Linked DNA regions of Arabidopsis thaliana. The protein of the gene in region 4 interacts with the protein of the main gene of each other region in a pairwise test. Each region holds a gene or a part of one and is shown on either strand. Other genes may lie near its edges. The genes, in order: AT4G26770, AT4G03600, AT1G47530 and GRP18.

What was found.
Region 1: the proteins of GRP18 (region 4) and AT4G26770 interact in a protein complementation assay, tested with the Arabidopsis thaliana proteins (one large-scale study listed by BioGRID).
Region 2: the proteins of GRP18 (region 4) and AT4G03600 interact in a protein complementation assay, tested with the Arabidopsis thaliana proteins (one large-scale study listed by BioGRID).
Region 3: the proteins of GRP18 (region 4) and AT1G47530 interact in a protein complementation assay, tested with the Arabidopsis thaliana proteins (one large-scale study listed by BioGRID).

What each region holds. Positions count from the first base shown.
Region 1 is NC_003075.7:13,478,436-13,487,730, reverse strand, and holds AT4G26770 (Phosphatidate cytidylyltransferase family protein), read right to left. Parts: upstream 5,668-9,295; 5' UTR 5,513-5,667; intron 5,180-5,512; 5' UTR 5,152-5,179; coding exon 4,945-5,151; intron 4,873-4,944; coding exon 4,458-4,872; intron 4,383-4,457; coding exon 4,241-4,382; intron 4,167-4,240; coding exon 4,010-4,166; intron 3,919-4,009; coding exon 3,871-3,918; intron 3,794-3,870; coding exon 3,707-3,793; intron 3,619-3,706; coding exon 3,490-3,618; intron 3,407-3,489; coding exon 3,350-3,406; intron 3,275-3,349; coding exon 3,191-3,274; intron 3,124-3,190; coding exon 3,034-3,123; 3' UTR 2,788-3,033; downstream 1-2,787. Other genes in the region: AR192 (Co-chaperone GrpE family protein), read left to right, coding at 1,171-1,314, 1,568-2,011, 2,096-2,263, 2,343-2,471, 2,567-2,665; MAP65-2 (microtubule-associated protein 65-2), read left to right, coding at 6,431-6,502, 6,576-6,779, 6,864-7,109, 7,186-7,401, 7,564-7,719, 7,797-8,108, 8,202-8,289, 8,378-8,526 and 1 more. UniProt on the Arabidopsis thaliana protein: May be involved in the synthesis of minor phospholipids and in modulation of IP3-mediated signal transduction.
Region 2 is NC_003075.7:1,600,904-1,607,975, forward strand, and holds AT4G03600 (pyrroline-5-carboxylate reductase), read right to left. Parts: upstream 3,726-7,072; 5' UTR 3,406-3,725; coding exon 2,917-3,405; 3' UTR 2,735-2,916; downstream 1-2,734. Other genes in the region: AT4G03590 (Cystatin/monellin superfamily protein), read right to left, coding at 1-71, 395-534, 731-946, 1,858-2,047; AT4G03610 (Metallo-hydrolase/oxidoreductase superfamily protein), read left to right, coding at 4,136-4,302, 4,587-4,728, 4,832-4,962, 5,060-5,201, 5,290-5,395, 5,494-5,558, 5,639-5,674, 5,769-5,878 and 1 more; AT4G03620 (myosin heavy chain-like protein), read right to left, coding at 6,137-6,951.
Region 3 is NC_003070.9:17,446,234-17,455,234, reverse strand, and holds AT1G47530 (MATE efflux family protein), read right to left. Parts: upstream 3,683-9,001; 5' UTR 3,512-3,682; coding exon 3,242-3,511; exon of another isoform or gene 2,948-3,241; intron 2,847-2,947; coding exon 2,651-2,846; intron 2,562-2,650; coding exon 2,216-2,561; intron 2,120-2,215; coding exon 2,033-2,119; intron 1,948-2,032; coding exon 1,891-1,947; intron 1,799-1,890; coding exon 1,441-1,798; intron 1,359-1,440; coding exon 1,272-1,358; intron 1,179-1,271; coding exon 1,125-1,178; 3' UTR 774-1,124; downstream 1-773.
Region 4 is NC_003076.8:2,377,085-2,384,578, forward strand, and holds GRP18 (glycine-rich protein 18), read right to left. Parts: upstream 4,234-7,494; 5' UTR 4,147-4,233; coding exon 3,902-4,146; intron 3,566-3,901; coding exon 3,124-3,565; 3' UTR 2,814-3,123; downstream 1-2,813. Other genes in the region: GRP14 (glycine-rich protein 14), read right to left, coding at 774-1,104, 1,429-1,679; GRP17 (glycine rich protein 17), read right to left, coding at 5,594-6,806, 6,993-7,411.

The DNA.
Region 1 (9,295 bases), on a different chromosome or scaffold from region 4:
AACAGATTTAGCTCGTGTAGTTAATACCTTGGCCTGTTGTTAGATGATGCTTATTAAATACTCCTTAGTCTGATATGTCTCTGTTTATTTTTGGCCACAGAGAGTTAGTTGAGGTGAGTAATGAGCTGAAAATGATTGAGAGTTTCAATAATAGTTGTGCAGCAGAGAGCCGTATTTATAGCTACTAAAAAAGAGAGAAAGACAGAATATTTTAAAATAGAAGGATTCGTACCATTGCAAGCTTCAGATGTATATGTAACGCATCTTCCTTTTTACCGGATTCACGCTCAAAACTCAACTCTCTGTTCTTGTATCACTTACTGTTTTTATTGCTTACTGAGTCTAGAGTCTTGAATGTAAAGATTATTTGCACTTTGGGTGAACTGTGTCGCACGTTTTGGGGCTTTTTAGTTCAACCATAGTTTTGGTTGTTGCAACGACAATAACAAGTAACGGCAAGAAAGTGTCTCTCATGCGTCAAATGTGACATTTCCGATAAAGTAACTTTGTTTTTTGAGTCTCAACTAAAGATTTATAAATTTATTGACAAGTGGTTCATAACATAGGTTTGCGTTTTGAATTAACTAGAGGCTATTAGCAATTAAGTGGTCATTTATCGTTTGTTGAATTATAGATTAAGTAGTTGAACATTAATTTCCAAATTCTCCCATCCAAATGACGTCAAATCTACACAACCTCTATATTAATCCAGCAATTTTAATTAAACACAAGAATGAAACTAAAAAAGCCAAACCACTTAGCAACAGTAACATACTGCTGCTTGTTCTGTTTGGTAGGACTGTACCAATCAGGCCCAGGAGATAAATGGACTTCGTCTGTCCCAAAGATATACAAGTACCTTTGGTTCTTTCTAGAGGCTTCTCAAATTAGCTTTCAAAATCTCCCATTTGCTATAATGACAATAATACCCTCACAGGCTCGCCGAATCAAAGCGATCATTTTAGCCTCAGCCCGCTCGTGCAGCGGTAAGGCTATTTACGTAAATTACTAAAAACCCCGAAAGAGAGAATTGTGAATTCTACTATCCATCCACCAAGCACTCTGTGTGCCTCTGCAAATTAACAATTTCCTCAGAACAATTACATTTCGATTCGATTCGATTCTCTTATCTTCTTGATCTCTGTTTGTTCATCTGTGGTGGATCTCCAGATGTTGGTTTTGAGAATTTTGTCGCGAGTAACCCGCAACGCGGGCATACGCTCATCTCTATCCGCCGTCACTCTTCCGGCGAGGAATCAGACTCCTGTTTTCTCGAGCCGGTTTCACTCCCTAGCTCACGATTTCTCGCATAAGGTTCGATTTTCACTCAAATTAATCACTATTCATGCCGAAATTGCAATTCAGGGTTTTGTTAGGGTTTAAGGCTTTCCCTCATTTGAGTTTCTAGAAATGATTGCTATCTTCTGATACTGTTTCCTTGATCTCTTATGTTTGAATCTTCAGATATATGAATAAACAATAGAAGAATGGTTTAGATTCTCTATAGGTTTTTGCTCTGTATCATTTCACTGAGTTTAACCCATTTTACTTTTTTTTTTGGGGGCAGCTTGTTCCAGCTCAGATGTCTATGATGGATTCGTTTGCACTGCAAAGGTTCAATTTTTCTTCCTCTACCTCGCCTGAATCAGATGAGAAGAAGACCCACACTGAGGCCTCAAAGACAAGTGAAGAGAAACCTACAGCTGAGGCAAACCAACCAGGTCTTGACTCTGAATCTAAAGATTCTGTGACAGATTCTGCAAAAAGAAAGCGGAAAGGTGCTAAAGGAGCTGCATCTTCATCTTCTGAATCAGATTCTGAGAGTGATGATGATGAATTGTCAGCCGATGATTTGGTGAAGCTCGTAGCTGAGAAGGAAGAGCTACTGTCTGAGAAGGAAGAAGAGATTAAGCAGTTGAAAGACAAAGTTCTTCGCACTTATGCTGAGATGGAGAATGTCATGGACAGAACAAGACGTGATGCTGAAAACACCAAAAAGTATGCCGTACAGGTTAGTCTTTAAGAACTTGGTTTGCAGCTTTTGTTTCATATAATAGTTTTCTGAAATATATATATTCACTATATATGTATGCAGAATTTTGCAAAGAGCCTATTGGATGTGGCGGATAATCTTGGAAGAGCTTCTTCGGTTGTCAAAGAAAGCTTCTCAAAGCTTGACACCTCAGAAGATTCTGCTGGAGCAGCTCCACTATTAAAGACCCTTTTAGAAGGAGTGGAGATGACTGAGAAACAGCTTGCTGAGGTAAATATCGAGAAATGTAATTATAAGACCTTAAGTAAGCAATGCAGATGAGACCGGTTAAACATGTGTGCCGCTGCAGGTATTTAAGAAATTTGGTATGGAGAAGTATGATCCTATAAACGAGCCATTTGATCCAAACAGACATAACGCAGTGTTCCAAGTCCCTGATGCTTCTAAGCCAGAAGGCACAGTTGCTCATGTCTTGAAGGTAAATATATAAAGCTTGCTCAATTCTTTGTCTCTTTATTTCATATTGTATAGTCTTAAATACCAATTAGTAATGATGGGTGTCAATATGTGCAGTCTGGATACACGCTGTATGACCGAGTTATAAGACCAGCTGAGGTTGGTGTTACCCAGGGAGGAGAGAACCAAGAAGAAAAGAAAGAGTCTGATGCTTAAGAAGAAGTCAGCTGGTTTTCATAAATTTTGTTACGGTTCTATGTTTCCATTAACATCTTCTCGAGTCTTCGAGTCATAGTTTTCTTTTGTGGTTTGGTTATTCATTAGATGAACAAGATCTCCCATAAGTTGCTGGACATGGCATTTGCAGGGGAAATCCTGCTTCTGTGTCTGTTTTCTCTATCTCCATGCTATAATTGAACGAGGAAAATATCATTTTACATCTCTTCTACTCGCACACTATTACCAAGTCTCTGTTTGATTAGTTAAATCAGATACAAATCAAGGTTTTACATGGTCTGATACAACCAGAAACTAACCATAGAGAAAGAAGCTGAAAACAGAGTCACAAAACTTGCACTCACTATTTAAAACCTCCCTTGCAACTTATGTTGAAGAATGTCTCCGAGCTTTTCATAAAGCATTTTCTGCTCCTCGTGTCCCAGGCTCCTCGATATCTGCAGGTATAATACAATCAATTATTTACAATGCCTCCGTATTCTTGGCTTATATGATGATTCTTACCTGGTCTAGGATCATCTCGACACTGTAGTCCCGATTAACAATGAAAGATTGGATGTAGATGTATGCGAAAACCGCCATAACCATCTGCATTTAGGCAACAAGATTCGTTTAAAACGATGCAAAGATCATATTGCACTTTTCGACGTTAGTGACTCTTACTTGGCAATCCATTCTGTCAGTAAATCCTCCATGTCCTGGTATGCTGTCTCCGAAATCCTGTCAAAGCGACATAAACTAGTAAATATTTGTTCTTGGATCTGTAGATACAAAACCTTTTAATGTTTGAAAAATGTGTTAACCTTGATCTTGAAAGCTCTTTTGAAACCGCTTGCGAAGAAGCCACCAAAAGGCGCCATAATGGATGCGAATAGACCGAGAGAAAAAGCATGCCATTGGACAGGCAGGGTCGAGATCCCTTTCCATGGAGACTGTTAAGCAAAGTTCACAACGGAGCTCAGTTTCAAAACAAGACAACATCATCGGCTGGTTTTCACGAGAGGACAGTTAATTGCTTACAAATGGAGTAATCCAAGAGGGAAATGGGTAATACTCTGGCCTGAAGAGAGGGCCTGGATCACAATGAAGCCAACCAGTTGATAAATCCTGCAAAAGATATGCAACACAAGGATGAAGTAAAGGCCGAGACAAAATATTGTGATGGAGATATCACTTTTTGTTACCTTCCTTGGACATGTAAGCCATTGGAACTGGCCTAAGACATTAGCAAACTGTTGTACGAAGCAGATAATAATCTATCAGTCTTGAGACCAAAAGAAAGAGTTACGAACGAATGAATAAATGATAGAAGAAGGTTATTACAATAAATGCAGAGATTATAGTTGCAACTGATGCTCCGATGAAACCTTCCCATGTTTTCTTTGGAGACAACTTGATGAGCGGAGTTTTCCCGAAATAGAAACCGAAGAAGTAAGCTGCTACATCGTTCATAGCAATCAGTGCTGCTGGTAGAAGAAACCTGCATATTTAAAAGAAATTAGCACTCGGGAAAACTATTATGCTTCAGTGGATATATATAAGAGTCCATTGTACCAGAAGATCCCTTCAAAAATATTGGCGACGGTGAAAGAAGATTGAGTAAAGACAACGATAAGGATCATATGTGTCCAAGCGTATTGCCCAAACTGATACTTATACATCTTATTCTTCAATGTAAGGATAAACCATATGAGACCTGAATCCAACTTAAGCTGTTAATAAATCAAGAAAGAGAGTATTGTTTTTGTGAAGAAAAAAGAAACAGACAAACCTGCGATGTACAAGAAGTAGCAAATAACCATCTGGTACTTGATAAGACCACTCACAAGCTTGTATATGAATCTATCTGAAGAAACCGTGTTGACTAGCTGCTGTTGAATGATGCGTCCATAGACAAACAACATAGCCGTGAAGAAGAAGTGCCAATTCAAGAGCCAGAAACCGGGTAAGCGACGTTCTTCATGAGCTCTTCTGCGAAGAAAGAAGAGCTCTTTGGCCATGAATATCTGTATAACCACAACCATAGCCCAAATGTAGAGATGACCCATGTAGATTATAAACACAACTCCACCGAGCATCCAGAGAGATGAGCATGTCCTTATCCACATTGATCTGTACTTGTTCTTATCACCAAGTAACAAATTGCTTACTCTGCTTACATTGCTTCTGTTCACCTCAGCTAAATTCTGATCAATATTGAAAAAGACAATCAAATTTTGGATTCAACCGGAAAAGAGAGTATGACATTGTATAGATACCTCGCTTGATCGCCTGCGGTGTCGAATGCGAGCTGTTGGAGAGCTAGGAGTATAATTGTAATCCCTTGGTGAATTAGGAATGTTGGGATAATGGTTATCTCTCTGGTTATTAGTATTCATTCGAGACGTTGGTGTAGTAGGGTAACTAGTATCCCTTAGCTTTCTAATCCGTGGAGAATTTGGACTGAGATCTTTCTCCATTGCCATTGAGATCCCTAGGAAATGCTCTCAGTTCCTGGATTGAGTTCTTGAAATTCAGTTAATCATGATGATCTGGGTTTCTTTATACATCCGAGGAAATGAATTTGGGGTTGATCTATAATTTCAAAATGTCAACCATAACTCGAGCTTATACACGTCTTAATGAAACACACACATTGATATCTGATGAGAGATTACTTGTGTAACAAGCATATAATAGAGGATTTAGATTTGAATGTGTAAGCCTAGAAATCTAAATGATTCATCAAAGCAAAACGTGATGATTCACATACAAAGGATAAATTTCATAAGTGAACATTGCAACAAAATGGGATCATGACAAGTAGAAAAAAGAGAATGAACTTACATTAACGAAAACGTGGTGGGATGATGGTGATTGAAAATGCGAAACCCTAATTAATGAAAAGAAACGTGAAGAAAGAAACTCAAAAGGTGAGGGAAGAAGGAGGAGGAGGAAGGTGGTGGATGAGCACTTAGCGGTGAGGTTTCATCAAATCATCGGAAGAGAGAACCAATAAACTATTCATGTCGCTGCTTCATGTTTAAACCCGGAATGAGTGACACGTGTTGTCTTGATCTGTTTGGGCTGGGTCAGATATTTAAGCCCATTAAGGAAAGCCTTTTAACTATTCAGACATGAGCATGAGGAGTCAACGAGGTCTGTGAGATCAGTGGTCAAATCAGTAAATAACGCGAAAAGACAGGGTCTCTCACCTTTTTGCTGTTGTTTTTTCCTCATTAATTATTGAGTTCCGTAAAATGGGTCCCACTTTTCCCATTTCCCAACCTCCATAACCAAAGTTGGAGATTTCTCTGTTTCCTATGCTCTCTCTCTCTCTTACTCTCACAGTGACTATTCGTCGCTTCAGATCTAAAAGAGAGGAAGATAAACCATTTGGATTCAATATCGATTAAGGTAAGAAAGCCATCTTCTACTTGTTGGATTCGATTAGTTTCATTTCAGCTCATTGCCTCTTTACTTCTTCAATGTTGATTTCTTGCTTTGGCTTTGGTTTTATCACCAATGCTGTTTGATTTCTTTGAAGTTCCTTTCGAGCTTTTCTTGAGCTTAGTTTCACATTCTTAGCTTCACTAAGTTCTTTGATGTGTTTTTGTTCCCAAGTTCAAAATGTTGTTTCTGATTCAATTTGGTTTTCTAAAAAAGATTGCAACTTTGGTTTCTTTTAGTGTATAGTTAGTTTGGATCTTCACTAAATATGTTCGTTGTTTCTACTTTTGTAGGAAACCTTTTGACTTCACAAGAATGGCAGTGACAGAAGCAGAAAATCCTCTTCTTGGTGAAATCACTTGTGGCACCTTACTACAGAAGTTGCAGGTAGATTTCGCAACATACACACTTATCCTTTTAATATATGGTTCCACAAACTCAATGTACAAACTTGTTACAGGAAATCTGGGATGAGGTTGGGGAGAGTGATGAAGAACGAGACAAACTGCTTCTACAGATTGAGGAAGAGTGTCTGAATGTTTACAAAAAGAAAGTTGAGCTAGCCGCAAAATCTCGTGCAGAGCTTCTTCAGACTTTGTCAGATGCCACTGTTGAACTTTCCAATCTCACAACTGCTCTCGGGGAAAAAAGCTATATCGACATTGTAAGTAATCTCACGTCTTACAAGTGGTAAAGAGATGAGATGGTTACAGTGTAGTGTGATTCAATGTCTTTGTTTCCATTGCAGCCTGATAAGACTTCAGGAACGATCAAAGAACAACTTTCTGCAATAGCACCTGCGCTTGAACAACTTTGGCAACAGAAAGAGGAAAGGGTCCGGGCATTTTCTGATGTACAATCACAGATTCAGAAGATATGTGAGGAGATCGCTGGCGGATTGAACAATGGACCTCATGTGGTTGATGAGACTGACTTGTCTCTAAAGAGATTAGATGACTTCCAGAGGAAACTCCAAGAGCTCCAGAAAGAGAAGGTAAAATATTAGTTGGGATATGGTTATGTGTGGCCTATGTTCAAACCAGAACTAAAACTGCTTTGTGTTTGAGCAGAGTGATAGGTTACAGAAGGTGCTCGAGTTTGTGAGCACGGTGCATGATCTATGTGCCGTCCTTCGTTTAGATTTCTTAAGCACTGTCACCGAAGTTCATCCGAGCTTAGATGAGGCAAATGGTGTTCAAACCAAGAGCATTAGCAATGAAACACTTGCAAGGTTGGCTAAGACTGTCTTGACTCTTAAAGAAGATAAAATGCAAAGACTTAAGAAGGTTAGTCAAAATCATGGTCTTTGTGATCTCTGACATGAGCTTGGTCAGTTTAGGCTGCACATATGTTGAAATCCTTTCTGATTAATTGCGCTGAAAGTTTGTAACTTTTCTCTGCACCATTCTTGTTTGTGGATTTCATTAATGTATCTTGGTTTTATGCAGCTTCAAGAACTAGCTACTCAGCTAACTGATCTATGGAATCTGATGGATACTTCTGATGAGGAAAGGGAGCTTTTTGACCATGTTACCTCTAACATTTCAGCTTCAGTTCATGAAGTGACTGCCTCTGGTGCTCTCGCACTTGATCTTATCGAACAGGTATCGTAAATTTGTAATGTATCAATCAATGTGTATGATAAGTACTGCTTTTAAAAATCTTCTGTGAACTCTTGAAGGCTGAGGTGGAAGTGGATAGGCTTGATCAACTGAAATCTAGCAGAATGAAGGAAATTGCATTCAAAAAGCAATCAGAGCTTGAGGAGATATATGCTCGTGCTCACATAGAAATAAAACCAGAGGTTGTTCGTGAGAGGATCATGTCGTTGATTGATGCTGGGAATACTGAACCTACTGAGTTACTGGCTGACATGGATAGCCAGATCGCAAAGGCCAAGGAGGAAGCCTTTAGTAGAAAAGAAATTTTAGACCGTGTAGAGAAATGGATGTCAGCTTGTGAGGAAGAGAGCTGGCTCGAAGATTACAATCGAGTATGCTAACATTGGCTATGTTAATAAACACATTACTTATTAAGCATAGAGTTCAATTGATGATTCTTTTGGGTTTTTGTTCTGGAAAAACAGGATCAGAACAGGTATAGTGCAAGCCGAGGTGCGCATTTGAATCTCAAGAGAGCTGAGAAAGCTCGGATTCTGGTCAGCAAGATTACTGGTAAGAACTTCCAAAAGTCTCTCTTAGTTATTACTACACATAGAATTAAACTGAGACTGAAGAATATATCATACTTTGTTTGTGCAAGCTATGGTTGACACGTTGATTGCTAAAACCCGGGCATGGGAAGAGGAGAACAGTATGTCCTTTGAGTACGATGGAGTTCCTTTACTCGCCATGCTAGATGAATACACTATGCTTAGGCAAGAACGAGAAGATGAGAAGCGGAGGCTGAAAGTAAGTTGTTTCATCCTGTGTTAAACCGATTGTTGAAACTAACTTCTTTTAAAATAATCTTGCCTTTTCATTAACAGGAACAGAAGAAGCAGCAAGAACAGCCACACACAGATCAAGAATCCGCCTTTGGGTCTAAACCAAGCCCTGCAAGACCCGTTAGTGCCAAGAAACCGGTGGGAACACGAGTCAATGGAGGAGGGCTCAACGAAACTCCTATGAGGCGTTTGTCTATGAACTCAAACCAGAACGGAAGCAAGTCCAAGAGAGACAGTCTGAACAAGATAGCTTCACCTTCGAACATTGTAGCCAACACAAAAGATGATGCTGCATCTCCAGTCTCTCGTGCTGACCCAGTGATGGCTTCACCGTGACAATATCAAAAGAAAGAGAGTTATAATGCTTACTTACACTTTTGTTAGTTGCTAATAGTGCTGTTTAAGAAACAAACACTTAGAAACAAAGACAATGAGAGTAGAATGTTACTTAGATGTTTCTGTTTCTGTATTCATTCACTCAAATTTGTTTGGTACTTGTTAGCATGACTAATGTGAAGTGACCGGTTTAGTGAATGAAAGTCAAGGTTCTAATTGGAATTACGAAATAATATTTGGGCAAAATTGTAATATACTGAAAGATCTTTTGGGCATGATTTAAAAGTTTAAAAAGTTTCCAAGAAGGTTTGGGATTTTAGAGGTCCTTTCTGCGACGTCGTTTCTAGTTTGCAATCAGAAGCGCGTTAAATACAGGAAAATTTCTTGAGCTGTTTTGT
Region 2 (7,072 bases), on a different chromosome or scaffold from region 4:
ATGTATGACTTCGATTTAGGTCCTCCGCGATAATAACCTCTCACAACTTCAACCAACTCCACATTCAAATCCTACAACCACAATAAGAAAGCAATAATAATGTTAAAGCCAAGCTTGCGTTGAATAGTTGAAAATTTCCAAACCATTACTTCAAAGTTCAAAGAAGCTTGTAAATCCTGTCAACCTAACCATTGCTACTGTTAACACCCGAGATTGAATCCTCAAGCTCAGATAAAATTCCAATCGAGACCTCTCTTAGAGCCAGACCTTTAGTTTTTTAGAGAATAAATTAGATTTTCGTTTTCGTGATTCAGTCTAAGCTACTAAACTAGAATGGAAGGTGCGTGATAGATTAAACAAACCCACAAAAAGAAAAGGGTAAAAGAGAGAGAACAAACCTTGTCTTGGTTAAGTTTTTGGAGACAACATAGACCATCTCTTCCCTGTACTCGCGAAAGTTTTTTATACCCCTAATCGCTTCCCACTCCAAATTCATTGGTCTAAATCCTTTGTAATGATCAGTTGGCTTAAGCGCTGGATCCGCGTAAAATATCCATTAATCCACAACAATTTCAAGAAATTTAGCTCAAAATTCAAAGGATTAGGACATACCTTACTCTCGATGATCTGGCGTTTATAGCTGCAATATTGTTCTATTTGTTCTTCGGTGTAAGATTCATCGGAGGATAATATATTAATATCGGCTCCAGAGATGAATAATACTCTAAACCATCGAAACTGTCCACATCCCATTCTGGCACCTTAAAGTAATAATCTGTTTTAGCCTTAGGCTCCTCAATTTTGGCTTTCCCATCACTGCCTTCTTCTTTCTCACCATTGCTTTCTTCCTCATCCTCCGGGTCGAACTCGGCTTTACGCTTTTTCAGGCACGAACTAACCACCACTGAAGAAGATGCTTCCATGGAATCTTTTATCATCGTTTTCTCTGCGCATTGATTGAGAAGCATGTTGATCGACTAAACCCTAAAACTCTCTCTGATCCGAACAAATTGGGAAATTGAAATCGGAAGATTCTCTGGAAATAACGATGGTATTTAAATTAGATTTTAAATCACCTAGTTACCTTTTGCCCAGGAAACGTGTGTGATATTAACCCAAGTGCCCTCCTAATTTCATTTTCTTTTCGGGACATTTTGAAAAATAACTCAGATTTCTGTTGAATTTTGCTTCTTTTTGTAAATAATCAAAATAACATGTAAAAGATATAATATGAGATAAAAATTAAAGTTTAAAAAACATTACCATAACTAATAATTTGAGTAATTTAGAAAAAAAAAAATTACCACAACTATTCTTGATATAATATGAGTAAAAAACTTCGAAACGAGAAGATTGAAAATTTAAATTTTATTTTTCGAATTCTAGCTAATTGGTTCTATTTTTTTGGGGATATTTAAAGGTCTATTTGAGACAATTATTCATATATTTAAATAATATTAAAAATGGAAAATTTTGGGACATACGTAACGACATACTTGTTACATTAAGTTAAACATATTAAAAACAAGATTATTATTTGACAGAAAAAACGGGTATTGTATATGACAAAAACTCGGATGAATACGAGATAAGATAGTTTCTGTTCTTTACCGGACATACCTAATCTTTTTGTTTGATAATTTTCAAAACCAACGCACAGAAGAACATACCTTCGAGTCTTCTATATTGGTCAAGTCTTGGGAATCAAACAAACGCAAAACAGAGTTGGATTACATACCTTGCTCTTAACGATATATAGTTTATAGATATGATAGTATTTATTAGCTTTTTCCATGTCGGGATAAGACTGTTCATCGAAGGAAAGTTACGAATTTGAAGATGTATAATACTCCAAACCTTCGAAGCTATGCACATCCCATTCAGGCGCCATTAACATATCAAAATTAGCCTCATGCACGTTTGTTTTGGTTTCTTCGTCGTCACTGGTATCTTCGCTCTCATCAGCTTCCACAGATTCGATTTCTTCCATCAACTTGCTCAACTTTTCTTCTATCATCGTCACGTTTGCACACTGATTGAGGACCATGATGATCGACTAAACCCTAATCCTCTATCTGAAATCCCAAAATCCTAAGATGTAATTCTCTAGACCGAGCGATGGTATTTAAATTACCTTATTATCCTAGAAACATGTGAAATTTAACATAATTGTCATCCAATTTGGTCTTTCAAAAAAAAATTCTTTTTTTTGCTCAGTTAAAAAAAAAAGTTCAACAATATATGTTCCAAAGACAAAAAGATTCACGCATTTTCATGATTTTAGAGTTCTTAGAATTTTTTGTTATAAAAGGTTTGCAGACATTAATTTTTTTCCCCAAATTAGAGTTTTTAGTTGAGGTATTAGAATTCTTTTTATCAAGAAAGGTACTTATAAAAATAAGTATCAGTGTGTGAAATCCACTACTTCAATGTTGGAATGTTACACCTTCCTCAAGAAGGAATTTGAGTAAGAAAGAAGTTGTGTAACCCATTATTATATGATCTTATCTTCGCAAAACATGCCTCTTCAACTAGTTGATGTAGTTTTAAGCTACTAAAATAATAACCGGGTAACTTAAATAGTGAAAACTGATAACAAACTTAATAGGATATGTAAATCACTTGGTTATTGGTCCATGTGTTGAAATTGTGTGGCAATGAACCCACAAACGGATAACAAATCATGATTTTCAATATCTCAAATGAGAAGTTGTGGGACGATCCATTCTAGATACTAAATGCTGTCATCAAGAAAAATTATCTAACCACAAACAAAAAAAATTGAGCCAATGCATCATGAACTTCTTCATTCTACTACTAACAATTGATTTTCTAAATTAACTTTACATTTACATTCGGGAGTGACTCAAGATAATCTAGATCAAAATTCCCTAAATAATCTAAAAATCAAGAACCTTAATATGAGTCAAAATCTCTTCTAATAAGCAGAAAATAAGCTAAAACAGCACAAAAAGCAGCAACAACATTGCCTTCTTTCAAAAGAACCTTAAACACAAATCCGACAACTTCTCTCGTAATCTTCCTTCCTTCAACCACTAAAACTCTTCTTGATTTCCCAAAGAAGGCAAGCAACACCACCACCGATATCCAAATCACCATCACCGCCGGAACCGCCACCGTCATAGCAGCCACCATCGACATAGCTCCAAACATCGCACCGAGCACCACCGACGCGTATACCGCCGGTAATCTTGAAGGAGAATAATCTGAATTTGATGACGTGTATTGAAGCTTGTACCAGTTAAGAACTGATCTCAGGAGGTTCCATGAAGAAGATACGAGAATTGCGTAGACAGCGATGAAGAGACAAACCCATGTCCGTCTTTTACTCATGATTGTGATGAAGATATGATACGATCTTGGAGATTCTGTTTGATCTGCCATTAGAGATTGGAAGTTCTTGCTTATCGATCGAATCTGTTTTGAGATTTGTCTGCGACTGAGCAAAATAAAATAGAGCAGTTTATGAGAATCCTTACACTCAGTCGTAGCGCGTGTCGTGTACGCTTCTTTGTGAATTTGTTTTTGAGCTGGCAATCGCGTGGTTATGGTTCACACGCGCTTTAATATATTTTTTTTTGTGAAATATGAAAAACATTTGGTCGAATTTGTGAGATAATGAAATGGTAATTGGAAAGATTGTGACTGCATTGTTTTTAATAATTAAGTAAATTTAAATTCTGTGGAAGTATATTTAATCAATAAACTGGAAAAACAAAAGAAAAGATTTCGTTACCATAACGATTTAAATTTAAGATTTTGTTATACAGAAAAAGAAATGTAGAAGATTTTTTTCTAATTTAGAGGAGTCAAACAATGATATATAACAAAAAAAATCACAATCCGGTGGATTTGTGGGGTAAGTCATTAATCTTTTACTATTTTGTTTGGAAAAATTAGTAGTCAATATCATTATGACTACATATATCAGTGTCAAAGACTCAAAGTAATGGCTTAGATATTTTATGTTAATAAAAGGAATATATATACTGTGAAAAAGACAAGTTTGTGTAAGGGATCGCATATAATCTCAACTAATACAATAAACAAAGATATAGCCGTTGGCATTAATCAGCTTTGGCTAGACCAACCAGAAGATCAGAATCTTGAGAAGATGGAGAAGAATCAATCTGATGATGATGGAACGGCTCTGATCTTTCTTGGAACAGGCTGCTCCGGTGCAGTTCCCGATTTCAGATGCTTACTCCAGCCGTCAGATCCTCCTTGCCATGTCTGTTCTCAGTCCCTCTCTTTACTTCCTCACCTTAACCCTAACTACAGGTAAATCTTGTCATCAGTTTCTTCTCTTTGGGTTTTGGTCTTTGAAGCTGTGGAGATTTGTGAAATGTCAAATCTTGTTGCTTTCCGTAAAGACCCTTTTGAAGTTGGGAGTTTTGATTGAAAAAAGAGACATCTACTGTTGTCTATATTCGTGTTGGAGTTTAGGTTTTAATCCATTTTAGGTAAAAATGAACCATCCGATTTCTAGTGTTCTTGGGAAATTATTTCAGATATATTAGGGTTTGGTGAACATTCTTGAATCTTGATTCTCTGTTTTTTGGCAGATGCAATACATCGCTCTTGATTGATTATTGCAGCAAGGAAGAAGATGGTAGACATAAGTACATACTTATTGATGTTGGCAAGAGTTTTAGAGAGCAAGTCCTTCGTTGGTTTACCTTTTATAAGATTCCTCGAGTCGATTCCGTTAAGCCCTTTATATACTTATCTTCTTGATCTCTTGCATCTATTTTTTTCTCTGAAATGAAATCTAACTTTTACTGACTAATGCTTGTATGATTTTGTGTAGATCATTCTAACTCATGAGCACGCAGATGCGGTTCATGGCTTAGATGAAATTCGATCTCTTCAACCTCGTGGTGCAACTATTGTTGATACCGATCCACTTCCCGTCTTTCTATCTCAATTTACAATGGAGAGGTACCATCTTCGATTAGTGTTCTCTATCTCAACTCTGGCTTAAAGCTTTTCAAATTAGCATTTGATGAGACTTTTAAGGCAACAAAAAATTGTGCAGTATTGCTACAAGGTTTCCTTATTTGGTTGAAAAGAAGGTAAAAGAAGTACCTAGACGAGTTTCACTTCTTGACTGGAAAAACATCGAAGAGAATTGTGACGAACCATTCGCTGCCTCGGGCTTATCTTTCACGCCTCTTCCGGTTAAATTTCTTTTCACTTTTGAGAAATCAAAACAGTCTAATTCTTCCATGAGACCTTATAGACTCAACAATGTTAGTTATGCTTTAGGTGATGCATGGAGAGGACTACATTGCTTTAGGTTTCCTCTTCGGCGATAAAAGTAAAGTGGCTTATATATCAGACGTATCACGGATTCCACCGAGTACCGAGTATGGTAAGAGCTCATTATGTTATGCCCTAATCATTATACCTCTGTAGTTCACTTCTACTAAAGAGAAAGATTGATATTCTTATGAATCTTTGATTAAGCAGCTATTTCCAAAGCTGGGGCTGGACAGTTAGATCTTCTTATCCTGGATACAAATATACCGTGGAAGGTTCACATCATCTCATAACTTTTGTTTACCGCTTTTTCGATCTTGATAACCTTTCTTGCTGACCATCTCTTTGATAATAGAGAGGACCACATCCCACACACATCTGTTTTACAGAGGTTTGTTTCAATGGTTCTCTTTTTTTTCTTCCCAAAGAATGCTTCACTTCTCTAAACCTTTTTGAGAGTAAGTTTCAATATTCCTATTCTTTAGGCTCTTGAGATCTTAAAGAGGCTATGTCCAAAGAGAGCGCTTTTAACGGGTATGACACACGAGTTTGATCACCATGAATACAATGAGATACTTGCAGAATGGTCTCTAAGGTATGCAATGAAACAATGTTATAAGATTTCTATAAATCAACATCGTTGAATGCTAATAGAGACTATGTTGATTTCTAGGGAAGGAATCCATGTACAGCTTGCTCATGACGGATTACGGCTTCCAATAGACCTATGAGCAAATTACTAAAGACAAATCTTAGAATTCTTGTTACCTATCAAGAATACAAATGACAAAAATTTCCAAAATTATATGAGTAGAATCTATATTTTGATACAGTAATGAAAATCTCTGTTTCTTTACTTGTTCTGGGAATGATTCAAAATCTTTAAACCAAGCCCTTGAAACAACTTCTCTAAATTTGAAATCTCATTCTCAATATTCACTTCATCTTCTCTTGTGATCTTTTCATGCAACTTGGTTAGTCTCTGAGTCCCAACATTCACTCCTTCTGCATAATCTCTAAGCGCTCGTCTCATTGATCCATTTTCGTCTTGAACATCTTTGTATTTCCTTTTCAGAGATCGGTATCCGTCAATAGATTTGAGTAGCTGTTCAGACAACTCTTTGTTTCTTCCCTGTAGAGGCACATTGTTGTCTCCTGGACCTGGACCATCAATATCTTCTTTCTTCTCCTTATTATGCTCTACCGCGCAATTCTGCACTTTCTTAAGTAATTTCTCATTTTGAGCCCTAAAATCACTTACAAGCTCCTCCATTTCGTTTAATTCGTGAGCTTTCCTCGAAAGCTCCAAAGCCATTATCTCTTTCTCCTTCCCTAAACTTGAACACATCATTTGAAGACTCTTTCTTGCAGCCATACTCGCGCTTAACTCTTTTCTCAGTTTCTGAATATCTTCAGGATCGTTCTGTGGTGGCTTTGTTGGACTCTTGGTTAGATCAGGACTCCGTTTCAGATCGGTGTAGCATCGTCTAAGCTCTTTTTTCCCAGATGATGATTGTTGTTGAGCTTTCTGGATTCGTGTCTTTAGATCATCGAGAATCGTCATCATAGTGTTGACTCTCTGAACTTTCCAATCATCGTGGTGCCTCGATGTTGCTTCGTTGTGATCTTGAACGAGTTTCAGCAGTAGCTTCACGTTCGTAGTGATTCCTTAAAACAGAAACAAGAACACGTTTAACATATTTCTTGCCATGCAAGTCACAAGTTGTTTTCTTGCCCAAAACGGAAAATGAAACATGTCTTAAATCGATCTTTATGAGATGAATGTGAT
Region 3 (9,001 bases), on a different chromosome or scaffold from region 4:
ACAGTAAAACCCAACTATAAGATTATCTTTTGACAAGTACTCTTTTTTTTCTTCATAAATTTCCAATAATAGAGATTACAAGGTCAAAAGACTCAAGAGAAGCACGCATGCCCAAACAGGAAAACAACAAGACGCTAAACCATTATTAATTAGTTATGTCCTTAAATCCATGCAAATCTAAACCATTCACAGATTAAAAAAAAAAAAGATAAGTTAGACTGTAATTGTATATATATTGGTTGATTTACAGAGTTTGATATATCATAAAATGTATCAAACAATATAATCATTAAATGATGTTAGTTTGATATTTCAGAAAATGCATTTGTTACCATATTACGGAATCCATTATCCTAACCGTGACCGAATTGATGAAAAGGATTAGTGCATGGGTTGATTCACAATTTGAGCACTATTACTTGTTTGTGTATTTATAGTAAATCTCCATGCGAAAACCAAACATAGTAATTAAGGGTAGACTATCTAGTATATAGCACACAGCTCTCGACTGACCTAAATTTTAATTCAAACACTTATGAGATGGGCAGACAAATTTACTGCTTTAACGGTTAGTCTGTGACCCTGATTCATGAATTGTTGTAGTCCATCTCTAATATATTGTATCGTCACACAACTATTTTGATATTCATTTTCATCTTCTTTTTTTCTTTTTAATATTCCTCTTGTTTATATAAGATTTGTTAATTTTTAGTGACTGAGTTGCAACAGATCAACGACAGTCCTAAAGATCTGTTGCTAATACCACCACTAATTAGCTATGTTTGACAAACGGTAAGATCTTCGCCTTCAAATGAACATAAACATTGGATCAAGTCTGACCATTAAAATAAAAACGAAGGATCAACAAGCTTATGAAGATTAAATCTCATACTTAAAATTAATCAAGAACTTTGGCTTAGCAACAACCATCCTAGAATCTAACATAAGTCTAACACATAACAAACCGTACCCCTCTAACAATCACTGAGAGACTCGTTAACTTTAAGCATATCAAAAAACAAAAAGAGATGATGTTGTTCTCCGATAAACAATTTTCTCAACATTGAACATTGACAAAAAAAGATCAATAACTGATATAGTCCACGTCCTAAGGGAGTTGTTGATCACTCCTGCGCCGTTCCTCCCCATCTCTGAACTCGACTCTCCGCTTGCTCAGCCTGCATAATTTAGAATTCAAAGCTAATTAATGAAATGATCAAACCAAACACAAAGGAGGAACATAGCAGCAACTAAAAGACAAAGTAAGAGACCTCTTTGTTCCAGTTAGTGAAGTAGATGATTCCAATCAATATAAGTGTCTGCAAGCATATTCCAGCTACCATACCTCCCCATATTCCCTACAAAAATATACAAATGATTTAACACCAGATTAAAAAGAACAAGGCTAATACAAAATGGTCATATTAGTAAATAGCTAACCTGAACGCCGAGGTCTAGTGTGAATCCAAGAACAAGACCAGCAGGTAGTCCGATAATGTAATAACACGCAATGTTCACGTATGCAACCAGAGCCTGCCACCCCGCTCCAACCGCAACCCCTGACAAGACGGGCTGGAGGCTGTTCAAGAGGACAGTGAAGCCCAACAAGACGGCTATTCTCGTGGTTTCTGCTGCCACAGCTTCGCTTGAAGTGAAAAGATAAGGGAAGCTGTCTTTTGTGGCTAAGACAACAATCATGCACACTATCCCGATAAGAGTTGAAGTTATGGAGACGACTATCACTGAGAATTTGGCTAACGCTGCGTTTCCTGCACCCAGCTCATTCGATACTCTCACACTGATCACACCAAGAGACAAAGTTCACCAGTTCATGAGATTTTTATTAGCTTTCCAAATGTGGCTCCTGAAACATAAAGGTAGAGAACTTACCTAATCGCAGCGTTAAACCCGATCGAAATCATGGCAGTCCACCCTTCTATATTCATGCTGTGAACCCCAAAACATAAAATATGTTACTAAACAAACCTATTTTCAGTGAGAAACTAACCAAAGATCAGCACAAATTGATTACCAAATGGAGATGGCATCGACTGGTATCAACGGGTTAGGAAGGAGACCGGTAACAACAACCAGAACCATCAAGTACCAAAACTCCAAACTGCAAAACAAAAACAACTAACCTTTCATTACAAGCGAAGTCTCAGCTAACGTAAGTCTAAAGCTATCTTCTAGCCAAAAAAAATTGGATAGGTACCAAAGCATAAGAGCAGAGGCTAAGGAAAGTTTGACAAATCCATAGAGGTCCCGAAACGCTAGCATAGAAAATCCAGTCCACGCACCGTCTGATTTGGTGATTAAGATATACAAAAGCTGACCAATAACAATCAACCACCACGAGGTATTGAGAGTGATAGCTGCACCTACAAGTCCCCACTTAAAGTAAAGAATGAAGAGCCAGCTAAAAACTGCATGTATAACTAAAACCACTCCAGAGATCCAAGCCATCACAAGAACTTTCCTCTGTGACTGCAAGAATTTCTGTATCGGGAAGTTGGCTGCATAGGCAAATAGTTGCGGGATCATCCACAATGCGAACTTCCCTGAAAATTATAACAACGCAGAAGTTGTTACGTGAACATTGACTCCAAACTCAAAACCAATTGGCAAAAAGGAATAACAAGAATGATACCCGCGGCTTTAGAGATGTGAGGAGCCTCGCCGAAGAAGGAAAGAATAGGAGGAGCCCAAATGTAGACGGGAAGCAAAAACAAAGCAGTAGTAAAGAGAATGACCCATGAACGTTGCATATATATTCCCATCATCCTAATCTGTCCCGCGCCATATGCTTGTCCACACAACGTCTCCAATGCACTCCCCATCCCTAACTGCCACCATTTTCCATCATCAAAATGTTTATATTGTTTGATCTCTAAGCTTTTTTCATAGGAAACTTAAATGACAAGCAACAAAATTCAAGAGAGCTTACACAAGGACCCTCGTAGAGATTACTTGTATAACAAATATTATAACACTGAACTCAACTACATTAATATATCTACTTTATTTGAATATAAAACACACTGTTAGGATTTACTTAATCACAATTACGAAACAATTTTAAATGTATGGGAAAATCTACTTCATTGATATTAACGAATATTGATATTAATTAATACAAAAAAAGTCCTCAAATATTGACTTTTATTTCTGTGGCTATTATTAGAACACATTATCCATTACCAAGAACCTGACACGTGTGAAGGGTGTTTACGTAACATACCATGACACCGAAGGCAAGACCGGAGATAACAGAGTTTTCAACTGAGACGGCGGCGAGCTCAAGTTCACCGAGACGGCCGGAGAAAGTCTGAGTGAGAGCACCAAGAGAGTATTGACTTATGGCAGTGAAAATCGCTGGTCCTGCTAACTCCCAAAGCCGCTTCGACTCTTCGCCGAACTCTTTGGCCCATACTTTTGACGCCGACTTGGTTCCGGTGAGTTCCGGTGGCTCACGAGGGTCAAGCAACGGCAAAGTCTTATCCTTTCCCATGTGAAAAAAGCTCTGTTTTAGTTTCTCTTCTTTGCTTTCTCTTTGTTCTGACTTATGATATATGTATATAAATACAGAAGATGGAGACACACTAGTGTGGTAGGTGCCATAATGAATAGTCTAAAAAGGTCTGACATGAGATCTATCCAAAAGAAATAAACCGCCAAAAATGACTAAACGAAGGTAATGGAATTATTTAGTACATATTCTATAGTTTTGGTATGAATCGGCCTAATTTGGTAGTTAAATATTATCAGCATAATTTCTTAATATGAATAAATCTCAATTTAATGGGATTGTTAAGAGTATGGATTGGTTGAAAACTTGAAATGATAGTGTGATATGATAACAAAGATTTTTGTAATAGTTTATTTGGTTTTTGTTTTTGGGCCGAAGTTTGGGGCCGAAACTTTAAACACGTAGTTGAATGCAAGAAAAAAAAAAAAAAACTTGTGGTAATATGAAGAAGTACGTATGTACTAGGTAGGTACACTTTAGTTTTTCCTAGAAGGAGTTAACCGAGTCGTACAAGTAATTAAAATTATTGTGGACAGTGAATATAATGGACCAATGAGGACTTACCAGCTCGTTAGAAATACTTCGACCAAGGTTAAATATAATCAGACGGCTCTTTGAGTCCTAAATTGGGTTCAAAGGGTGACAACGGCAATGAACATTTAGTCACTTACCCTATCGCATTGAATTGGTGGATCTTGTTTTTATTTTCTTTTTAATATTAGGTGTTGGTGAAAGTGCAAAAGAAATTAATAAAATTGATGAACCAAAAAATCGACAGCATTTTGTAACAAGAAAAGCTTTTACACTGTCTGAACTTAACCAAAAGGAGAGTGAATCATGCATGGTCAATTGGTCATTGGTTAGTGCTCAAATTAACCATTGTTGTGAGAGCGAAGTTGTTGTGAAACTAAGAGAAATAAAAAGTCATGAACCAAATAATCGACATCGTTTTATATCAAAGAAATGCGAAAATATTACTTTGAACTTTAACCAAAAAGAGAGTGAATCATGGTAGATGATTATTGAATCGTGATCAAATTAACCATTGTTGTAAGAGCGTAGTTGTTGTATCATGGGATTCTTGCGGTAGTGAGGAAGCTATGTTTCAGAATAACTAGTCTATACTGAGAGGGATGAATCCTCGTTGTATCACATATTGCATGTGGACTCAAAAGATTTCACTCCTTGGTTGTTAGTTTTGTTCACATATTTCTTTTGTTTCGAAAACTAACATAGATTAACTCTTGTGAGTATTTAGTTACAATATCAAACCGTGGTGGCCTAAGCTGCTTAAGGTTACATCGATTGCCTCTGAAGGAGATATGGATGGTGTGATTGTGAAAGATATTATGGAGAATATTAAGGAAAGAGGTGATATGAGGTTTGGATCGAGGTTGCATTTTCCTGATTGCAGAGATGGGACGACCGGGAAGATGAACTATGTGTGTGATGAAGCCAGATTACGGTTCGAGCTCGGCTCTCAAAGAACGGCAACTTTATTTAGAAAACGCTCTGCTTGTCCCTTGATTGTTTAGCGTTCAAACTGTTGGATATTCCTTGCCTTTAGATGTTGAGTTTTCCCTTTAATAAAAAATACTATAAAAGTGTATTGTCCTACTACAGCTTTGATTCAAAATTATCCAAATTTATCCCAAAGAATCACTTTCTTTGCACTAATGAAGTAATGAGGCTACCACATTTTGTTTTCTTACCTGAAGTGAGCTAATATCTAAAGAACCAGACATTATATAAACAAGTGATTGAATACAAATTTGATTTCACATTTGCATATGAGAATTTAGTAGTCATACAATATTGAATAATTGCTCAGAATGTCCTTTCCACACTACCCCTTTTCAATTCTACCTTTTCTTATTTGCCATTTTCATTTATACCTCTTTAAATTTTTAATGACCATTTTACTCATATTTCGAAATTGTTTTAGGTTAACAAAATGAAATATTAATATTTTTTCGCCTAAAATATTCCAAAATAAATTTCCCACCAAAAAATTTCGAAAAAAAAATTTCCATCAAAGTTTTTTTCTCAAAAACATTTTTCCCGCAAAAATATTTTTTTGGCTGGAAATAGATTTACAAGGGATTTTAAAAGATCTTTAAAGGGTTTAAAAGGGTTTTAAAATATTTACAAGGGATTTTTAAAGGGTTTTAAAAGATTTTTAAAGGGTTTAAAAGTGTTTTAAAAGATTTACAAGGAATTTTTAAGGCGTTTAAAATATTTACAAGGGTTTTTAAAAGATTTTTAAAGAATTTAAAAGAAAACTCTTTAAAAACTCTTATAAATCTTTTTAAAACCTTTTGTAAAGGTTCACAAGAGTTTAAAATGGTTCAAAATTATTAAAAGGGTTTACAAGAGTTTTAAAAAGATTTTTAAATGGTTTACAAGGGTTTACAAGGGTTTTAAAGGATTTACAATAGTTTAAAAAAAAATTAAAATATTTACAAGAGTTTTAAAATCCTTTAAAAACTCTTGTAAGTTTTTTTAAAACCTTTTGTAAAGGTTCACAAGAGTTTTAAAATGGTTCAAAAAGAATAATAAATGTTTTAAAATACTAACAAATTTGTTTCTAAGAGTTAAAAAATGATTGTGAAGACTTTATAAGAGTTTTAAGAAGATTTTAAAAGGATTTACAAAGGTTTAAAAATCATTGTAAATCCTTGTAAATCCTTTTAAAACTATTGTAAAAGGTTTAAAATGATTCACAAAGGTTTAAAAGGGATTTTTAAAGTATTTACATATGTTTTTAAAGACTTTATAAAGATTTTAAAATGATTTATAAGGGTTTTTAATAACTATCAAAGCTTTTAAAAAACTTTCTAAGGATTTTTAAAAGGATTATTTTGGTTGAGAAAAAATTTGTTACGGGAAAAACATTTTGGCGGGAAATTTTCTTTTTGGCAGGAAAAAAGTTTGGCGGAATTTTGTTTTGGCGGGAAAAGTAAATTTTGGCACTAAAAATTTGGTGGGAAAATTTCAGTTCCAGTTACATGTTTTTATTAGATAAGGGTTATTTGGTCATTCTGTTCAGATGAGTGGTATTTTTTAAAATGGATAACATAAAAGTGTATTGTTGCAAAAGAGTAGTAAGAAATGGTAGTTTTGCATATCTTCCTAAAATATTTCTAGTTTAGTTGTCAGTTTCCTAAGAGAGGATACATATATCTTGTAAACCATTTGATGTAATTTGTTGGACAAAACATTATTTGAGATTAGAAAGAAGTATGTAAGAAATTTTACAAAAATATTATATATGATATTATAATAATTTATTTCATGTAGAAAATGGAGATGGATCTTCCGAATTTGATTTTCTTCTTGTGAAATGGTGGGAATTGATATTTTCAAAACTCCATCGTTAAATATGCAAAAATGTAATTTTCATTATACATATGTAATTTTGAATTAAAAACATAAAAATATAACCATCAAAATTTTCATTTAGTTTGGAACTAAAATATGAAAATGAATGATAAGTATAATCTAGTAATTCGTCATAGATAAAATAATATGAGAACAATCTAAGAAATATAAAGATAAAATTTAGAACCAAACCTTTACAATGATGTCTCAATTAATTTTTCAACCCAAAAAACAACACAAAAACAAAGAAAATATTTAAGATTTAAGATATGGTAGAAGTGAATGCGGAAAAGGTATAAACTGTGATACATGATGTATTAGATGTGACGCCTTTGAGAAAACAATTAATCATACGCTTTTTCTTTACCATCCAGCGTATGATTAATCATACATGATTTTATTGTGAAAAATGTGTTAATAAATCTTGGCATCGTGTGAATAAATTTTGAAAACTCAAACTGCCTTATTTTGAGAAGGTTACTCTTGCCCGTTAATCATTTTTTCATTGTTTTTTTTTTTCAAATCTATGAAGTAAGCCATGTGACATAATATGATTTGTTAGGTGATTTGTACTTTATAAGATAAAGGATTATACGTGTTTGATCAAAGTAAAATTAGTCCTCCCTCTTGATATGCAAATGTCGAATATTATTCTTCGATTTAAACCGGAATTCTACTTATAAACTATTCACAACCAAACAAACAAATATCTTAAGGGGTGAGAAATTACGACAACGAAAGAGTCTCGTAATGCCTTTTGTTTTGTTTGTTGCAACTCGTGTCACATCTTCCATCGTCTTCACATCATTGGGCCGACTCTTTTGCCTCTTAACTTCTTCATCTCCTTTCGGTATGTTATCACTTCTGCTAGTACTAGCTGTGTTATTTTCAATGAAGACTTTCTTCCACTAAGCAAGTAAGTCTTCTTTGCCCCGAATGATGCTTGTTTCAGACAATCACTATTTGAAATATTTGGTAAGGGTTGCTTTATTCATTCAGATAATGTAAGTATTTATACACAAATATTCTAAGGGTTTTTTCTTGTACATAAGATCCATTAAGGCCCGTTACTATTATATAAATCTAGTGTCGTATTCAATTAAAAAATATTCTGCCTAAACTAATTGGAGTTCTATGTAGTTATAATAGATAATGCCACTTAGAAAACTCTCTAAACACAATTTATGTGTCAATACAGTTGGTTCAACTCTTGTAAGCTCACACTAAACAAATGGTGTGGTCGGTTTGTTGTCTCTTCAGTACATCACCAATTACTAAAGTCCCTCAGAAGAAGTTAAATATATATTACTTAAGACTTTATCTTTAACCAATGTGTATCCTAGAGTAAATAAAATATTTCTGTAATGATTATTATTATTTTTTAATTCATAAATCTTTTTTTTTTAATTTTGTTTTTGCATTCGTGATACCCAACAAATTTTCCATTTTTGAGGATTTTACTTACATACAATCTTTGATGCCTTTGAAGAATTTTTGAGGGCATGAGTCTTGCTGTAAAAGCAATGTTAGGGACTATTACAAATCAGAGAGAATGAAGATAAGAATAGAAAGTTTATTCATTCATTCATCATAAAGAATCAATCTGTACAATTGCTCTGTTATATACAAGTGACTAAACCGGTCTAAACCATCTAACTTATCTAAACCGAGTATATACACTCAATAGTCCCCCTCAAGATGAGCTGAATATGTTATGAAGACTCATCTTGGATTTTAAATGAGTGAACTGATGCGGAAACAGAGCTTTATTGAGAATATCTGCAACTTGATCTTCTGTTCGAACATGAAGCAGCTTGATAATCCCTTTCTCTAACTTTTCTCTGACGGTGTGACAATCCACCTCAATGTGTTTGGTTCGCTCATGAAACACGAGATTAAAAGCGATGTAAAGCGCCGCAGTACTATCAGAAAAGAGTATAGGGATAGAGATTCGAATCCTCAAATCTGACAATAAAGTGGTTAGCCATACCATTTCACAAGTTGCAAGGGCTAGAGCTCGATACTCAGCTTCTGCAGAGGATCGAGAGATAGTTGGTTGCTTCTTTGAACGCCAAGATATCAATGATGAAC
Region 4 (7,494 bases):
GAAGTTGGAATTAGAGGTGGACTCTGAGATAGTAGTGGGATTTCTCAAGACGGGGATAAGTGATACGCATCCTTTGTCTTTCCTAGTACGATTGTGCTATGGCTTTCTTTCGAAGGACTGGACAGTCCGAGTTTCACATGTGTATAGGGAAGGTAATCACCTCGCTGATGGATTAGCCAACTATGCTTTTCCGCTTTCTTTAGGTTTGCATTTATATGATTTTTGTCCAGACGATTTGTCGCTTTGTTTGTCTGAGGACGCAAGAGGGTCTGCATATTCTCGTAGAGTTCGATTGTAATTTTATTTTCTATTTTAATAAATTTTTGTAGGGTGCATTGCCCCCTCATCCCACCAAAAAAAAACCTAAGAGCATCTCTATTGGTTGAAAAAATGAGATGTTTTTAAAATACATTTAAAAAAGAAAAGAAAAAAAAGGAGTGTCTTTGAATAGTAGAAGTTTGTGTCTCTGCATAGACATTTTAGATCCAAAACGATATGGTGTCTTTAAAGTTTACTATTAATTTATGTTTTGAGTGATATTTGAGACACCAATAGAGGTGCCCTAAGAATCGACCGTACAATATACTCTCTTTGTTCTCGGTACATTGTTTATAAGTTCCCGGTTATTCATCACGTTATATGATTTATACTAGAAAATAATAAAATTGTAGTCTTGTGTTTCTTTATTTCAGTATAAGCAGCTTTGAGATTACATACGAGCATAAACGTATATATATATATGCTACATGTTGGAACAACTTGACTTATTTCCTTTACCATGTGGGTGGTGCAGCCGGTTCAGCTCCAGCGGCTGGTGCAGCTCCAGCGGCAGGTGCAGTTTCAGCGGGAGGTGCATCTCCACTTGCGGCCCCTGCAGCCCCTGGTCCGAACATTTTTGAGATTTTAGCTAACGGATTTTCGCCTCCTCCTAATCCTCCAAGTCCTCCAGGTAAACCTCCACCTCCTAATCCTCCTAATCCTCCAGGTAAACCTCCACCTCCTAATCCTCCACCCCCTGGTTTTCCAAATCTTCCCCCAAATCTCCTACCTCCCCCAAATCTCCTAAGTCCCCCAAATCTCCTACGCCCGAACCTACGTCGCAGGCTACATAAGTGTGTACAAAGGTTAATTATAAATTGAAATCAAATTGTAACGCTTCTTATTAATCACGTTGGCAGTTGTTCTAATGATATATCATGTTTCAAAAAAAGGTAAACATGGGTTGTGATAGAATAGACAACTCAAAAGTTAGAAGACGAAACATTAAAAGATTAATACTAGAACATTAATGTGTACAGTGTACGATACTCTTAAAAATAAATGAGGTAGTATGTCAAAAGAATCAGAGATAGACAAAAGAGAATTAAACAAGTTTTTTTATAAAACACAAAAGTCTTTAGTTTTTAAAAATTTCACTTAATGAAGCACCTGAGGAGAGAAGCGGCGGCCATCGTTCCGAGTGCGCCACCAGCGGTGAGTCCTGTGGTTATGACAGCAGTGGCTATCGTGGCTGGTACGAGAATCGGACTGAATATGATAAAAAGCGGTGTGGTTATGGTTAATGCCGTGGCTGAACCTGCCAGTGTTAGACCCGCTAACACTAAGAAGACTATAGAGACCACGGCAGCAATAACCACCTGAAAAACCTCCGACACTTGGAGGATGAGAAAAGAAAACATTTTGGGATAGATGTTAAATTTCAATGACTGAGATTTGTTTTGATGGAGTTCTTTGGCTCATACTTTATTATTAAATGGTTGTTAGGGGTCTATACATGCAAAACAATGGGAGTAAGTAGAGATTTACGTCACGTCACCTTTGCTTTTTTGTTTTTGTTTTTGAGTTGTCATGTTTTTGGACCATCTTTTCTTTCTTGTAAGAAGCTCAAAGATTAATTGTCGTGTTGCAATTCACGTTTACGGTTGAAACAACCTAAAATAGGTGCTTCGAAAGAAATCCAAGGAGGCAAAATTTTGTGGAATTTTGAATACTAGTTTGCTTGATTTTATCGAAACTCTCATGCTTGATGAAATTGCAATATGCCTGTTTAATTTTCAAATCTCCTAAATTAAATTTGTAAGAGATTCTTGTGAGGTTGGCCAAGTGGGAGAGTTTAGATAATTATACAAAAATAAAATATCGTCGAACATGAGAAGGCCGAGCATATTCGATTTTTTCAGGAAAACTCTTCTAAGTTTGGGGGATATATATGAAACATTGAAAAAAGGTGATATCAAGATTCTTCCACTTGGCTGTCAAAAGACAATCATGCGTAATAAAACTACAGAGGGGATCTTTGGTGAATGGTTTGTTTCAAACTGTTTCTCAACACACTAAGTAGCGATCAAGATTCAAGATACGAGATCTTGTCATGTAGATGGTAAATTTAATTGTAATGATTTATGTCATGTAAACTGATTCTTGATCTTCTATAAGTCTTTGCAGTTTCGATCGTATGCACAAATGTTAAAAAAACAGAGTTTTAGAAGAAAACAGAGTTTATTGGCTAAGTTTGTACTAGTCACTAGTCATGCAACCGTTACATAGATAATAAACTTCTCGCTTGTCAGTATATACCATCAAAAGTTTGGGTTGTTGATCGTTGACCAGAAAAAAAAAACAGCAATTTGATTGACTATATATACGATATTTTAAAATGTAGCTGTTGAAAGAAAATTTAGTTACAAATGTAACGTAATTTTTAATTAGAAATATATAATTTATTCTCAGTTCAATTATTATTTTTTCTCTTCAAATATTCAATAATCAATTTGCTTTGTTATAGATAACAAATTTGAAAATAGTGAAATCAATTTTCAATTTAAAATTACTTAGTATATAAAAACCTTAAGAATTGATATAGTATGATTTACAGACTACAATGCCGACTAAATGTGCAATGTACATGGTCTAAGAGTCGACCGTACATTATACATTATACGTTCCCATTTGTTCATCGAGCTATATGATTTATACTATAAATTAATGAACATTGTAGCATAGTCTTGTGTAAGCAGCTTTGACCTTGGAGAATACATATGAGCAAAAGACGTTTTAAAAAGCTTTTGTTTCCTTATGAATCAATGCACAATATACATGTTGGAACAACTTGACTTATTTCCTTTACCATGTGGGTGGTGTACTTCCACCAGCGGCAGGAGCAGCTCCAGCAGCAGGCGCAGCTCCAGCGGCAGGCGCAGCTCCAGCGGCAGGCGCAGCTCCAGCGGCAGGCGCAGCTCCAGCGGCTGGTGCAGCTTCAGCGGCAGGTGCACCACCAGCAGCAGATGCATCTCCACCTGCGGCCCCTGGTCCGAACCATTTTGAGATGTTTCCAAACGGATTTCCGCCCCCTCCTAATCCTCCAGGTGCACCTCCACCTGCGGCCCCTGGTCCGAGCCATTTTGAGATGTCTCCAAACGGATTTCCACCCCCTGGTTTATTTCCGAATGTTCCAGAAAATTTCTTTCCTCCCCAAAATCCTCCATATCCACCATAAACTGGCAATTTGAGAAGAGGTTGGGCTGACGAAGTTCCTTCCGCAGTCGGCTTAGCTCCCATCCTACGTCTACATATATACTCACAAGTGCGTACAAAGGTTACTTATGTATTAAAAACAAAATTGTACCACTTCTTATTAATCACGTTGACAGTTTTTCTAATGATGTTTCAAGAAAAGGTAAACATGGGTTGTGATGGAATAGACAACGAAGTTAGAAGACAAAACATTAAAGAATTAATAAGACCATTAAGTGTACACAGGGTACACTAATTCTTTAAAATAAATGAATTAGAATATGTGAAAAGAATCAAAGATAGAATAGAGAAAAAAAAAGAGAATTGAACAAGTTTTTCATAAAACAAAAATGACTATAGTTTTACAAAATTTCACTTAATGAACCACCTGATGAGAGCAACGGCCATCGCTCCGAGTGCGCCACCCGTGGTGAATCCTGTGGTTATGACAGCAGTGGCTATCGTGGCTGGTACAAGAATCGGACTGAATATAATAAAAAGCGGTGTTGTTATGGTTAATGCCGTGGCTGAACCTACCAGTGTTAGACCCGCGAACACTAAGAAGACTATGGAGACCACGGTAGCAATAACCACCTGAAAAGCCTCCAACAAGAAGATAAGAAAAGAAAACATATTGTGATAGTTAAATGTTAAAGTTTGATGAGTGAGATTTGATTTGATGGAGTTCTTCGGCTCATACTTTGTTATCTGATGGTTGTTAGGGGTCTACATGCAAAACGATGGGATCGTAAATAGAGATTTACGTCACGTCACCTTTGCTTTCTTGTTTTTTTTTTCCTTTTTTTTAGGTTGTCATGTTTTTGAGCCATCTTTTCTTTCTTCTAAAAAGCTCAAACATTAATTGTCGTGTTGCAATTCATGTTTACGGTTGGAACAACCTAATATAGGGGCTTCGAAAGAAATTCAAGGAGGCGAGATTTTGTGGAAGTTTGATGAATACTAGTTTGCTTGATTTTACGGATGATGGTTGCAGTAAATCTCTATTCGGCTTGATGATATTGCAATATGCTGTTTAATTTTCAAATCTCGTAAAATAAATTTGTATTAGATTCGAAAATAAAATATTGTCGAAACATGAGAAGGCCGAGCATATACATTCGACTTTTTTCAGGAATATATATATTTTGGGGAGATATATGAAACATTTTTAAAAAGGTGATAACAAGATTCTACCACTTGGCTGTTAAAATACAATCATGCGTAACAAAACTACATAGAGGATCTTTGGTGAATGGTTTGGTCCAAGCTATTTCTCAACACACTAAGGGGCGCTTAAGAATGCAACTAAATAACCGGAAACCCGAGAACCGTTCACCTATTCTTCCGTTGGATGGAGAGAGAGAGAAGGTTTGAGACGGAAAAAATGTTGTTGAAGGTTCACCAAAACCACTCAACCACACGACTATATTAGAGGGCTCTTATGATACATATCACATATGAAAGAAAAAGGGATGCTGTTTTAGTATTAGCCCCAAATTCGAGTCCTAAGGCTTACATTGGTGAGATATATGATAGAAAAAAGTCTTGGAACGTGAGAAACTATGTATTGAAAACTATTCATATAAACTTAACACATGATTCTTAGAAACCTTTAACAACTAATTTGCGGTCACAAAAAATTACTTCAAACCTCAAATAAATATTCATACCATGCGTCTCTAAGTTCTTCTGTAGCTTATTTTTGTTGTCAACAAACCCAAACTGCTTTGTTAGTTGAATTTTTATTTTGAACCAGAAAATCTAATACAAGATAGAAAATAACTAGGGAAACATCCTCTTTATATTCATTTTAACTATAAAACTATGCTTACGTACAATTGAATAACAGAAGCAATTCTACTACAGAATGGACTAAAACTGTTGCCACATTATTATTGTTCTTAAAATAAACATTGTATCACATTTATGTCTTTTTATCATAATAATCAGATTCAACATTACATATAAACATAAAACTTATTAGAAAATATTTTTTTCTTTCTTTTACTTTCCCAATCATACAATCTTGAACTAATGCACAATGATCTGCTTAATGTTGGAACAACTTGACCATTGTTCTTTACTCCGCCATGTGGCCACCTCCACCTCCGTGTTTACCTCCTCCAAATTTGTGTTTACCTCCTCCGATTTTGTGTTTACCCCCTCCACTCCCGGACATACCACTTTCCGACATACCTCCTTCACTTCCAGACATACCTCCTTCACTTCCTGACATACCTCTTTTCTTTCCGAATTTACCTCTAAGACCTCCGTGTTTACCTCCTCCAATTTTGTGTTTACTTCCGCTACCCCCAGACATACCACCTCCGGACATACTTCCTTCACTTCCAGACACACCTCCTTCACTTCCTGACATGCCTCCTCCACTTCCGGACATGCCTCTTTTCTTTCCGAATTTACCTCCAAGACCTCCGTGTTTACCTCCTCCAATTTTGTGTTTACTTCCACTGCCCCCAGACATACCACCTCCGGATATACCTCCTTCACTTCGAGACATACCTCCTTCACTTCCTGACATGCCTCCGGACATACATTTTTTCTTTCCCAAATTAGCTTTGAGTTTACTTTTTCTACTTTTGGATTTACCTCCTCCACCTCCGGACATACCTCCTTCACTTCCAGACATACCTTCTTCACTTCCTGACATGCCTCCGGACATACTTTTTTTCTTTCCCAATTTAGCTTTGAGTTTACTTTTTTTACTTTTGGATTTACTTCCTCCACCACTGGACATACCTCCTTCACTTCCAGACATACCTTCTTCACTTCCTGACATGCCTCCGGACATACCTTTTTTCTTTCCCAATTTAGCTTTGAGTTTACTTTTTTTACTTTTGGATTTACTTCCTCCACCACCAGACATACCTCCTTCACTTCCAGACATACCTTCTTCACTCTCGGACCCTCCGGACATACCTTTTTTCTTTTCGAGTTTAGCTTTGAGTTTACCTTTTCCACTTTTGGATTTACCTCCTTCACCTCCGGACATACCTCCTTCACTTCCAGACATACCTTCATCCCCAGACGACATACCTTCTTCACCTTCGGACTTACCGCCTTTACCTCCAAATTTACTTTTTCCACCCCCGGACTTGCCTTTTTTACCACCGAATTTACTTTTTAACATCTTCTTACACCAAGCCTTAAGCCCACCTTTAGACTTTGCCTTTGACTTTTTGATCAGACTTTGAGCTCCTCCTGCTCCTGCTCCCGAATTCGGTGGAAGTCCTGCCGGAGGTGGATTATCCTTCGGCTTTACTCCCATCCTACGTCTGCATCACACAAAAAAGTATGTATATATACTTAGAGACCAATTAAGAAAACGAACGAAGTTCAATATTTATAAAGTACGTTAACAAATGAAGTTCAATATACTTTTAAACTATAGGTTTATGAATATTATATAATTAAGCATAAATCTCGAGTGATCTCAATATAAGCTGTTATAATAATCTTACTTAACAAGCCACATGATGAGACCAAGTGCTGTCGCTCCAAAAGAGCCACCGGCCGTGAATCCTGTCGCCAAGACAACCGTGGCTATCGTAGCTGGTACGAGAACAGGACTAAATATGATGAAAACCGGGGTGCTTACGACTAATGCTGCGGCAGAACCAGCGAGGGTTACACAGGCGAAACCGACGAAGATTACGGAGGCCACAGAAGCAATAATAATCTTAATAACCTCCAACAGTGGCATGAGAAAAGAGAACATACTGAGAAAAGAAAACTTTCTTCCATCTCTCTCTGAAAGAGATAGAGAAGGAAAAAATCTGCCCTCTCTCTGTGACAGGGACAGAAAAGGAAACCTATTTCTGCCCTCTCTCAGTGACAGAGACTGAGCTGATGATGGCTTTTGACTTAGTTCTTCGCTCATATTTTCTGATCGGATTGTTGTGTTTTGGTGATGGTAAGAGAGAGAGGGCTTTTATGAAGGAGTTGTGTGGTCTCTACTACGTG